Linked DNA regions of Sus scrofa. The protein of the gene in region 1 purifies or fractionates together with the protein of each later gene. This does not show direct contact. Links are inferred from orthologs where the notes say so. Each region holds a gene or a part of one and is shown on either strand. Other genes may lie near its edges.

Region 1 (3,500 bases):
CTACATGTCACTAATTCATCCATCCATCCCACTATCCTTTTTCAGCTGTGCTCATGCCATATGGAAGTTCCCGTGACAGGGATCAAATAGGAGCTACAGTTGTGACCTATGCTGCAGCTACACCAGATCTTTAACCCACTGTGCTGAGCTGGGGATAGAATTGGCACAGTCAAAGAGACAAGCTAGATCACTGACCCACTGTGCCACAGCAGGAGCTCTCCTGTCCCATTTATTAAAAGAAAACAAAAATGTTATTTATACCTGCAGATTATTCGCATTAGGGATATCTTCATGTTTCTCATCCAAAAGCTTTGAAATAATCACTAGGCTGAGGCACTGTCTCAGCTGCCTGGAATTAGAATTTTAAAGTATTTAGAATGTGTTTAATCAACACTGCTTAAGAAGCAAATGAATGAGACAAAAGAAGTTCTCATTCAAAACATAGCTAATGTTTCAAGAAAAGGCTATATAAGAATATATAAGCTTTTACTAGAAGAGTAAAACTTTCATGTAAAATATTTTCACACCAAGTTGGAGTTGCTTTAAGCTCAAGCAAATCATTAACAGCCTTTATTTTTTGACAATTTTCATTTACTTTTTTTTTTAGACTGCACCCAGGGCACACGGAAGTTCCCAGGCCAGGGATCGAACCTGCACCACAGCAGCGATCTAAGCCGCCTCAGTGACAATGCTGGATCCTTAACTTGCTGTTCCACAAGAGAACTCCCAACAGCCTTTATTATTTTATTTTTTTAGGGCCGAACCCATGGCATATGGAAGTTCCTGGGTTAGGAGTTGAATTGGAGCTGTAGCTGTTAGCCTACACCACAGCCACAGCAACGCCAAATCTGAGCCACATCTGCAACCTACACCACAGCTTACTGCAATGCTGGATCCTTAACCCACTGAGTGAGGTCAGGGATTGAACCTGTGTTTTCATGGATACTAGTCAGATTTGTTTCCACTAATCACGACAAGAATTCCCCAACAGCCTTTACTTTTTACTCTGTTATTTACTGTTAGAAAACCTATTTTATTGTTGGAATTTCTTTTTATTAAAGGAAAAAAATGCTAATTGATTCATTTTCATGGGATATGCCATCTATATTAAGTTACCAGATAAGCTAAAATTAAAAATGAAGAAAGCGATCTTTGTTACATATCAGAATCAGGCCTGTCCATGTCTCTTCCCACAGCTGAATATGAAATAAAAGACTCTGGTCTAACACTCAAGGAATGATGAAAGAAAACAAAGGATCTAAAAGCATTTCACGGGAGTTCCTGTTGTGGTGCAGCAGAAACGAATCTGGCTAGGAACCATGGGGTTTTGGGTTCGATCCCTGGCCTCACTCAGTGGGTTAAGGATCCAGCATTGCTATAAGCCATGGTGTAGGTCACAGACATGGCTCAGATCTGGCGTTGCTGTGGCTGTGGTGTAGGCTGGCAGCTGTAGCTCCGATCAGACCCCTAGCCTGGGAACCTCCATATGCCCTGGGTGCGGCCCTTGAAAAGACAAGAAATAAATAAACGCATTTCACTAATATAAACATTTTTTTCTTAGTGTCTAATTCTCACTTTTCTTTCTTTCTTTTTTTTTTTTTTTTGTCTTGTGTTGTTGTTGCTATTTCTTGGGCCGCTCCTGCGGCATATGGAGGTTCCCAGGCTAGGGGTTGAAACGGAGCTGTAGCTACCGGCCTACGTCAGAGCCACAGCAACGCGGGATCCGAGCCGCGTCTGCAACCTACACCACAGCTCACGGCAACGCCGGATCCTTAACCCACTGAGCAAGGGCAGGGACCGAACCCGCAACCTCATGGTTCCTAGTTGGATTCGTTAACCACTGCGCCACGACGGGAACTCCTAATTCTCACTTTTCAATACCTTCCACGTGATGTCCAGTTAGGGACCAGCTGTACCAACCATAGAAGGTTGTGGGGATGATTAGAGAGTTCATTTATGGCCAAACAGAGTTCAGGCACCTGAAAACAAACAGAAAGCAATATTTTTCAAACCGGTCAGTGGAATCAAACTCTAACAGATCATCCACATCTCCTCATGACCTAACGGAAGCATTATTACAAAAAAAGCACTCATTTTTAGAAACAGCATGGAGTACACAGACTCAGTTTTATCTTGACTTCTGTACCAGACTGAATAGATACCTTTATCAGAATTTCATTTGGCTGTCATGTTTTATGCTACATCATCTCTCTTTCTCTGTCTTTTTAGGGCTGCACTTGCGGCATATGGAGTTTCCCAGGACAGAGATGGAATCGGAGCTACAGCCACTGCCTACGCCACAGCCACAGTAATGGCATATCAGAACCGCAACTTTGACCAAGACCACAGCTCACGGCAATGCCAGGTCCTTAACCCACTGAAGAAGGCCAGGGATGGAACCTGTGTCCTCATGGATACTAGTCAGATTCCTTTCTGCTGAGCTATGATGAGAACTCCTTTATCATCTCTGTATCTATATTTAAACAATCCTTGGAAGAATAAAGTAATCTAAATAGGTTCCAAAGGTATAAAACAAGAGCTGCATAAGATAATACATATTCATGATCTTGGATTTCTTGAATTTCAGGAATTCTCAACCATTCTGGTATTTAAAATCTAACAGAATTTCTTCAAAATAATCCCTGAGCAGGGAAAGGAAGTATGAGATAAGGGTAACAGATGAGATAATTGGTAATTGTTGGAGCTGGGTGGTAAGTACTGAATAGTTCATTAAACCCTTTTACTTTTTTTTTTTTTGTCTTTTTAGGACCACACCTGCAGCATATGGAGGTTCCCAGGCTAGGGGTCTAATCAAAGCTGCCGGCCTATGCCACAGCCATAGCAATGCCAGATCCAAGCTGCATCTGCGACCTACACCACAGCTCACGGCAACACCGGATCCTCAACCCACTGAGGGAGGCCAGGGATCAAAACCACAACCTCATGGTTCCTAGTCAGATTCGCTTCCACTGAGCCACCATGGGAATGCCAACCCTTTTACTTTTGCATGTTTGACATTTTCCATCAAAAAAGGTTGAAAAATATAAAGAAAAAAAATTAGGCACAATGGGATCAGTGGCATCTCTGCAGTGCTGGGATACATGTTTGACCCCTGGCCCAGCACAGTGGGTTAAGGATCCAGCATTGCTGCAACTGAGGTGTAGGTTGCAACTGTAGCTTATATCTGATTCCTAGCCTTCTCAAGAACTCCATATGCTGTGAGGTGGCCAAAAGAGAAAAAAACAAACAAAACAAAAAACAAAAAAAAACTAACAAAAATTATGCATGTTTACCCTCAATGGCTATAGAAGCCCAACTCAAATTCTTCTATGTGTGACTCACTCTATCATTTCATTTAGGTCTCTGTTCAAAGGTCACTATAGAAAGGCTCTAACTGCCTCATATGAAATAGCAGAGCATCCCTGCCTTGTCCTGCTTTATTGTAATTTGTAGCACTTATTACAACTTAACATGATATTATAATTTACACTGTTTATAAC
Region 2 (4,095 bases), on another chromosome or scaffold:
GTTTCAAAATTCTTCTTTAATTTCTATTTAAAATTTTTTTGTGGAGCTCCTTGGTGGCTCAGCAGCTTAAGGATCCAGAATTGTCACTGCCGTGGTTACAGCTATAGTGCAGGTTACATCCTTGGCCTGGGAACTTCATGCTGCAAGCAAAGTCAAAATTTTATAAATATATATTTTTTTCCTAATAACCATGAAAATTTTACATGTTTTTCCAACTCATTTTTTCGTTGATTATAACTTTGAGAGCGTGGATTTCACTCCTGTGAGAGAAAGAATCAGAAACCTGGAAAAGGAGCATTGGTCCAGGAGTCAGAAATCAGGGTTCTACTGCCAGCCTTCCCTTTGTTAACTCCTTCCATGGTTTACTCCCCCAACCACAGCCTTTGTCTTTGCCCAGAATGCTCTTTTCTTATTTCCACACCTGGCTCTTTCTTCGCCTTCAGGGTTTAGCCCAAATATCACTCCCTCTGACAGGCCTTCCCTGCCTCTCCATCACATTCATTCTGTTTTTCTCTTCTGAGCATCTATCTCCGCCAGAAATTAGGTTAACTTGTTCTTTTTCTATCTCTCCACTCACTCCCTCAAGGCCACAACCCAGCCTCTGGTAGATTAGACATTATCAGTTGAGGAATGACACATAAGTAGGTCGCAGGAAGCTCATCTTAAAAGGGAGGTTAATTAGACAAATGTGAGCCAGTTTAAGTGGAACACCCTCTACACCATGCCAGGGAGCTCCGGGGTTTCCGGAAACTTCGAGGGAGGGAGTCTTAAAAGGGAATTAACGAGGGGATGGACAGTCAATGAGGAGAATCTGTGTGGTGCAGTCTTTCTACCAGTTGGAGAGTGCAGGAGACCATAGCGCCATGCTTTAAGAGAGAGGAAGGCATAGAGCCATTTGGAAGAGTTTCCTTTCTTTTCTTTCTTTTTGGACATGGGAACCTGCTTGAAAACAAAGAAAGAAGACGAAGAGGCCCGAACCGAGGGCAGACTCCGAGCATCACCAATGGGGTCTGACGTTGCCCACACGAGGTGCCATCACAAACACCGTCCTCCTTTCTCTCCCGGATGTTTCCTCAGAGCACTGAAAAGGCTTTCAAAATACTAAATGCAACTGATGTCTTTTTTTGAGTTAAAAAACAAAACCAAAACAAAACTTCTCAAAGTATACAGACATAGAGAAAAGTGACCGGAAGCAGCTTCCCCCAGCTCCACCCCCGCTTTCGCAAGGGTTTCGGCCTTCCAGGCCCAGCACTGGGCGGTGCGTGACCGCTGACGCCAGCGATCTCAACTACGCAGGCGCGAGGGCGGGCTCCCGGCAGGGGGTGGGGGAGTCGCGCGCCAGGGCAGGTCGCGCGGGAGCCGGGCGCTGGAGCGCAGGGGCTGCAGGTCGGTGGGAACGGAAGCCAGCTCAAGAAGGAAAGGAAGCCAGAATGGCGACACCGAGCAAGAAAACGTCTACACCAATCCCCCTGGCCTCCAAGAGAGCTCTCCCCAGAGATCCCTCGTCGGAGGTCCCGAGCAAGAAAAAGAGTTCGGCCCCGCCGGCGGCGCCGCCTCCACTGCCGCTGCAGTCTTCAGGGCCTTTCGTAGAAGGCTCTATCGTCCGCATCGCGATGGAGAACTTCCTGTGAGTGGCCAGAGGCCGGGCTGGGGAGGCGAGCGGGCCCTCGGGCTGGGGGCGCAGGCTGCATGCGTGCAGGGGTAGGTGGGTGGATGTGTGCCTGGCTTGTGGGTTTAACAGTAAATTCGTGCTGAGATTGCCGTCAGGAGTTTTATTCGTCGGCCATGAAGATTGACGTGTGTGTCGATGTGGTAGGAGTGTGTCTTGGGTGATATGTTTTTTTTTAATTCTTAACGCCAATGTTGTTTGAAGACGTCATATGGCGGGCAGTGGACGTAGTAGGGATTCGATCTCTGCCCCCTGGGAGTCACAGCCTGTAGAGGTAGGACGTAATCTGTAATTGGCAAAACTGTGGTTCTTGGGAACTCAGAGGAAGCAACAGTTAAATCAGAACGGCAGTGATGCCGTGACAGATTCGTGAAGAGTAGGCAGTTGCTAGGTGGACAAAGATGGTGAAGGTTTCCTAATGGAGGTTGAAATGTACCTGAAAATTAAGCCTTACTCTCAGTTATTGCGCTCCCAGAAGACCCTTGACCCTTTCAAATCTGGCTTTCTGGTTCCTTTTTTATCCCTTCAGACAACTAACCATAATACTCACTGTAGAATTTTTAAATATGTTTTAACACAAATACCGTGTATCTGTTTAGCACCTTAAAGTTCATTTAAGATTTATTTTTTTTTAAGCTTGCGCAGAGTAACATAGGGAAAACAGAATTGCAGTAACATTACTAACATTATTTTTCAAACATCTGTCATGTGCTATAGAAGTAGGTGCTTTATTTACACAATGCTCTCATTCTTTCCTGGTAACAACTCTTTATATTATTTCCATTGATAAGCTCAGAGGTTAATTTGCCCACGTTTACACAGCTAATAAGTAGCGGAATTGTTGTTTGAATCCAAATCAGGAAAGATAAATATAATCAAACGAAGTATTTGCCTTAATAACATATGTGCATCAGGATGCAAGGGGGGAGCAATGGCTAAAATGGTTAATTTTGTCCACAACTGTGAGAAGGGCTTTGTACTGGAGATTATGACATTCTTAAAAAGGAAGAGCATTGCTGACAGAAGGAATTACCTGAAATGGTTATGATTAAGAAGTTTCCAGTATTTTAATATGGTTAGAGCACAGGATGTGAATATGTGAACAGGGTTTATACTGAAGACAACTCTTGGGGGTCTGTGTTTCCTATGCTGAGGAATTCCAGTTCTATGCTGTAGGTTGCCAGGTTAAGTGCATGCATGACATGTGACATATTACTTCAGCAGCATTGTGAAGGATCATTTAGAAAAGGTGCAAAAGTGAAGGCAACAAGGCTTTTACAATACAAGGGCAGAGATGATTCAGAGTTTGACCCTAACGCTGGAAAGTGGGAGCAGAAAGAAGAGATTTGACAGGGTCCGGCTGCAGATTATTTGTGAGGCATGATAGTAAGGGAGGATGCAGCATTTTTCTTAAGTCTCTGCCTTGGAGAATTGGACATTTATAGTGGTATTCAGTAGAAGGAACAGTTTGGGGAAGATAATAAATGCCTTTTGGAACCTGTGACTTGAAGTTTCCTGTGGGACATCTAAAAGATTTCTGTAGGGAGGGTTTTTGGTTTTTTGCTGTACCCACAGCATGCAAAGTTCCCAGGCCGGGGATCAAACCCATGCCACAACAGCAACCCAAGCCACTCCCATGGCAACACCAGATCCTTAACCCACTGTACCACAAGGGAACTCCTATAGGCAATATTTCTAAGTGTTTGGAGCTTACTGGAAAATGTGAACAGGAGAGAGAATTGGAAATCATGCATATAAGTGGTTGTTGAAATTGCAGAAATGGTTGAAATTGCCCAAAAGGAAATATGATTGGGAATAGAAGACCAAGTACAGAGTCCTGGAGAAATCCCTGTATTTAAGGCCAGGCATATCTCACAGATTGAGAAGGAACTGTTCAGAGAAGTAAGAGGAGAACTGTGGGAGAGTATTATCAAAGAAGCCAAGGAAAAAGATCCAAAAACATCATTTGCTACTTTGAATTCAGATTACAGGAGAGAAAAGAACCCATGCATTTAGCAGTTAGGAAATCTTTGACTCTTTGATGAAGTCGTGTAGGCAGAAAACTAAGTAATAGAAGTGTGAATGAACGTGGGGAAATATAGCTTGAATGTGAAGAGGAGCAAGAAAAGGTAGTTGGAAAGTGCAAAGCTAGGTGAAGTTTTGTTTTATGTTCACAGTGGAGAGGTCTTTGAGGCATAGAAAACCAAAATGGCCAGAGAGAGTAGTCTAGGAAAGGATTTCCCAAGTCAAATGGGATTGAGAGTGGAGAGAGAGAGTGCTAGGCAGAAGGAATAGTGTGCACAAGGCTTAGAAAAAGAAGGAAGCATAAGGGATAGTCGAGAAACTGAAGGAAATTCTTTACGGATTGAATTTAGAGGTCTTATTAGAGCATAGAGGAAGAAGATAGTAGAAAAAGATGAGTTAGA
Region 3 (4,233 bases), on another chromosome or scaffold:
GAGGCATGGAGGATAAAGGGCTAATTGCTAGTAGTCTAACACAAGAAATAAAGTAACTAAACCCCTACATAATTGTACCTGCAGTATTTCTTGGGAAATTAGAGTTTTTTTCTAGAACTTACAGGGGTCAGTCCTTCAAGCTTTCACACAGTAGATACTATCCTAACACAACAACAGGAAAAGAAAACAATAAAAAAGCATCTATTTTAACAGTTAAATGTTTTATCTTTACTGGCAAAAAGTTAAAAATATACATGAGACTCTCAGTTACAAGAACATGCTCTTTCTGGAATATTAAAAGTTTGCAACGATTTTTAAAAAATCTAGTTACTTACCTTGTACCATATAATACACACAACCAAGGAGATAACGATTGGAAAAGAGCTGGCATTTATGCAGAACAAGCAACTGTCTCTGTGGTGTGGACTTTCCCAAAATATCTTCCACATGGACCTATCCCTGATGCCTGAAATTCCTCTGTGGTTGGCGCCAGTTAGTAATGCAAATAAACCTATAGCAATCATCATCACAATTAAGGCCATTTCATTATATACTAGCTTTTTAGGTCTATGAATTTTTTACAAGTGACACATAGATAGAATATGCTGAAAAGAGAACTCAGAAATAGAGGCAAGAATGTAGATATAAATACAAAGGTCTTGTTTGGGAAGGAGGATGAAAGAGCAGAGTGTAACAGTTGGGTGAAAGAGAGAAGTAATGCATAAAAGAAGGGCAGGGATGCTGAAAGCAGTCTGGGGTAAGAAAATAAGGATACTTTTATACTCTGCATTACAGTGTCTGATAACCAGACACAGAGTATTATGGAACTGTGAGAATACAACATATCCTAAAAATTAGTAAGTATGCTACTAAGATAAATAAGGGATTTATAAAAAAGCTTAATTTATATAATTGCATTTAAGAACTAAGAATTTTCCCCGAAAATAAATTTTACTGACTGGTCTTTTAACTTTAATTAACACATAATAGAAAATTTGAGAAACACTACAAAGTATATGGGAAGATTAAAATCATGTCTAATTCCTTCACTCTGTAATATCACTGTCACTATTTGGGAGTGGTGAGAGGGGTGTGACTTGAAGGTTTTATTTATGTGTGTGTAAAAAACATAAAAAACAATTTAGATTATATAATTTAGTAACAATTTTTATGTAAAATTATATCATGGTCATTTTTCCATGCTACTGAATATTTCACGGTTTTAAGACCAATAGGTTGAAAAATAGTGGTTTCTTATTGTTATTCAAATGAACTATTTTGATTTTAAACCTGCTACTATTTTGATTTCACACCTACTAAGGTAAATCAGCATTAAAACTTCTCTCTTCTGGAAAGAACCTACCAAGCCTGAATTTAACCAATATTGCTATTTTGAATTTAAGACGTTGAAAGATTTTCATGATTTCATTTATCTAAAGCATTTACTGGTAAAGTAAACGATACTAAAATTGAAAAAGGTTAAAGTGCTGGTTCTCAATTTTAACCAATGCTACAAAAGCAATACACAAATCACAGTACTCAAAACTGTAAAATCCTGTTTGCCATTGAATGCTGTAACATCAAATGGAGTTTAGGAATGTTGTCCTCTCTTGGTCTATGAGCCAAATTAGGCCTTTAGCTTAAGTTAATTCAGCTGAGCTTTGGAAAAAGTTTTTTTAAAAAAATACAGTACCTGCTGCCTGTCCTATTCCTCAAAAAATAAGGGATGTGTATGAGTGTACATTGTGTGCATGTGTTTATATGTAAATCAATTATTTGACTAAGGTCTCTAATGGTGAGACAGATTATTTCAATGGCATCATTCGGGAAAAGAATCAGTCATAATCAGTCTGATTGATTTTAGCAGTTGAGGGCAGAAGTGGAGAAGTAGAAGTGACTGTGGTGAGGAAGAAATTAGAGGCTAAGAAGGCTTAGGGAGATGTCCTATCTATCCGGTGCTTACGAAGCACTAGCTGGATGAAAGATACTTGCTTTGGGATAAAGGGGCCTTAAGGAAGCAAGATGAGTAAAAGGAATGATGTTCAGGGAAAAAAGAATGAATGGACAGAAGATATCAGTCACTGCGGATGAAAGCCAAGCCTGCTTTAGTATCCCAGGAACTCTGTGTGTTACTTAGGAGTATAAGGTCTAAGGTTAACCAAGAAGGATTCTGTGGTCTGTATACTTCATATATATATTAGTCCATCTCCCTGAGAACCTACATGTTATTTGCCCTTCTTATACAGATTAGGTTATTGGGGAATCTAAGAGATTAAGAAACTAGTTCAAGCGTATGAAAAGGACTTGCCAAGAGGCACAACAGTCAAAGATACAAATCTGTTTCTACAAAAACTCCATGTCTCTTCTACAAAGCATTTTGACTTTAATTTCAGAGCTTAGTTGAGTACTTTCAACATAATTTTACAAAGCAATCTATCTTAAGCTAGTGAAAGAAAAACACACCGCACGAAAAGGAAGCTACTATGAGGGTGGAAAGACATTTAGATACCAAGGTCATGAAAATATTTAAATGTAATTACAAATGAATTTTAGAAAAATAACACCAATGTCTAAAATTTCAAGGCATTTCCAGGAACAATTTAAAGAGTGACTTTTTTTTCTTACAAAAAAGAAAATTTTCATAATTTTCCCCTCAAAGTGGAGTAGTGATTCACTATATTAGTTCATATGGGCTTTCTTAATCAAAAATAACAAAAATATTAATTTCAAGATAATTTGTGGCACAGGGGAAATGAATCTAAGAACCATAAGGTTGCGGGTTCGATCCCTGGCCTTGCTCAGTGGGTTAAGGATCCAGTGTTGCCGTGAGCTGTGGTGTAGGTCGCTGACATGGCTCAGATCTGGCATTGCTGTGACTATGGCGTAGGCCAGAGGCTACAGCTCTGATTCAACCCCTAGCCTGGGAACTTCCATATGCCATGAGTGTGGCCCTAAAAAGACAAAAAAAAAAAAAAAAAAAGATAATTTGGATAAGTAACTAAGAAAATTTAAAAACTTCGGTATTTTACTTTTAGGCAGTAAAATGTCTCAGGTGACAAATAGTACATAGCACATTTTACAGCACATTATTTTCTATTAGCATATTTAAGGAGAGTCAATTATAAGAGTAACTTAAGATCCATCTTAGTTGTATTTTTGAGAAAGGTTCTTCACTTTCTTTAGGTTTTATTTTTTGCAGTCTATATAGAATTACTGATTTTTTTTAAATGTGTTGCTTAAATAGTGAAAAGACTATCTCAGAAGAATCAAAGAAACACCACATAGTTAATAAAAGTATTCTATTGGTTTTCTTAAAGGCAAGGTTTTCAGACATGAGTGAAAATTTTCGACACCTATTATGAAATCTTCAGCATTCTGAATTGTGATTATGAAAAATAACATACTTGACCGCCTTTTCGAAGACTGTTTCACAGGCTTTAGGGAAGCAAAAAAATATTAAATCATATAATTGAATTTCCCTTAAATCAATAAGGCAAAAGAAAAATTTACATTTAGAAAACAGACCTAACAGGAGCATATTTGTGTTACTGAAGGCTAATTTTCTTCACAATAAAAACGTACACAAGTATTAAAGTACCTTAATTCATTTAAATTTAGAATACTGAGTTAACTTAATCATAATCAAACTAACTCGTTATAAAAGCGCACCTCAAGCTATTAACTTATGTAGGAACACCTGCAATACAGGTTAGTCAAACTTGCTTAAAATGGGAACATCTTGCACATCAATAAGTACTTCTAGGAAATGAGGCATAATGTAATAACATAAGCCCAAAAGTTCATGAGGTGCAGAGTCTGTCACACGTACACTGTAAATTCAGTTTAAATTTTCATTCCTAATGTCTTAAAAGGAATTTTTTTCCGCTTTTTTTTGATATAGCACAGTCATTCGTCAAAGAGGTTGGTGCTACCAAAATCAAGCTCCATCTAATTTCTGGGTCAAATCCTGCTATGGAGTACTCAAAGTAGATTAAGATTTTGTCAGTATTTAATCAGACGTTTGGGAAGTGGAAGAACTCTCAGGACAACCATAGCCATGTTCCCAGACTTCAAATGGCTAAGATATTAAAATCCCTAGGAACAGAGATAGACGTGTATGTGTGTGTGTGAGAGAGAGAGAGAAAGATTGCGTGTGTGTGTTTGAAGGCCTAGAGCAGCCGCAGTTATGTTCATTACCATTTGGGTAAATTTAAAATTCTACTAGGGAAAAAA

The links.
Region 2: the proteins of SMC5-SMC6 complex localization factor protein 2 (region 1) and SMC5 purify together in Homo sapiens (affinity purification with mass spectrometry; 3 studies listed by BioGRID and IntAct, with this or other methods). This does not show direct contact. The link is inferred for Sus scrofa from reciprocal best matches to the Homo sapiens genes SLF2 and SMC5.
Region 3: the proteins of SMC5-SMC6 complex localization factor protein 2 (region 1) and SLF1 purify together in Homo sapiens (co-immunoprecipitation; 3 studies listed by BioGRID and IntAct, with this or other methods). This does not show direct contact. The link is inferred for Sus scrofa from reciprocal best matches to the Homo sapiens genes SLF2 and SLF1.

The regions. Positions count from the first base shown.
Region 1 is NC_010456.5:112,031,282-112,034,781, reverse strand, and holds part of SMC5-SMC6 complex localization factor protein 2, read right to left. Parts: intron 1,980-3,500; coding exon 1,882-1,979; intron 350-1,881; coding exon 262-349; intron 1-261. UniProt on the Homo sapiens protein: Plays a role in the DNA damage response (DDR) pathway by regulating postreplication repair of UV-damaged DNA and genomic stability maintenance.
Region 2 is NC_010443.5:223,558,976-223,563,070, forward strand, and holds the start of SMC5 (structural maintenance of chromosomes protein 5), read left to right. Parts: upstream 1-1,295; 5' UTR 1,296-1,430; coding exon 1,431-1,627; intron 1,628-4,095. UniProt on the Homo sapiens protein: Core component of the SMC5-SMC6 complex, a complex involved in repair of DNA double-strand breaks by homologous recombination.
Region 3 is NC_010444.4:101,292,615-101,296,847, reverse strand, and holds the start of SLF1 (SMC5-SMC6 complex localization factor protein 1), read right to left. Parts: upstream 2,801-4,233; 5' UTR 543-2,800; coding exon 336-542; intron 1-335. UniProt on the Homo sapiens protein: Plays a role in the DNA damage response (DDR) pathway by regulating postreplication repair of UV-damaged DNA and genomic stability maintenance.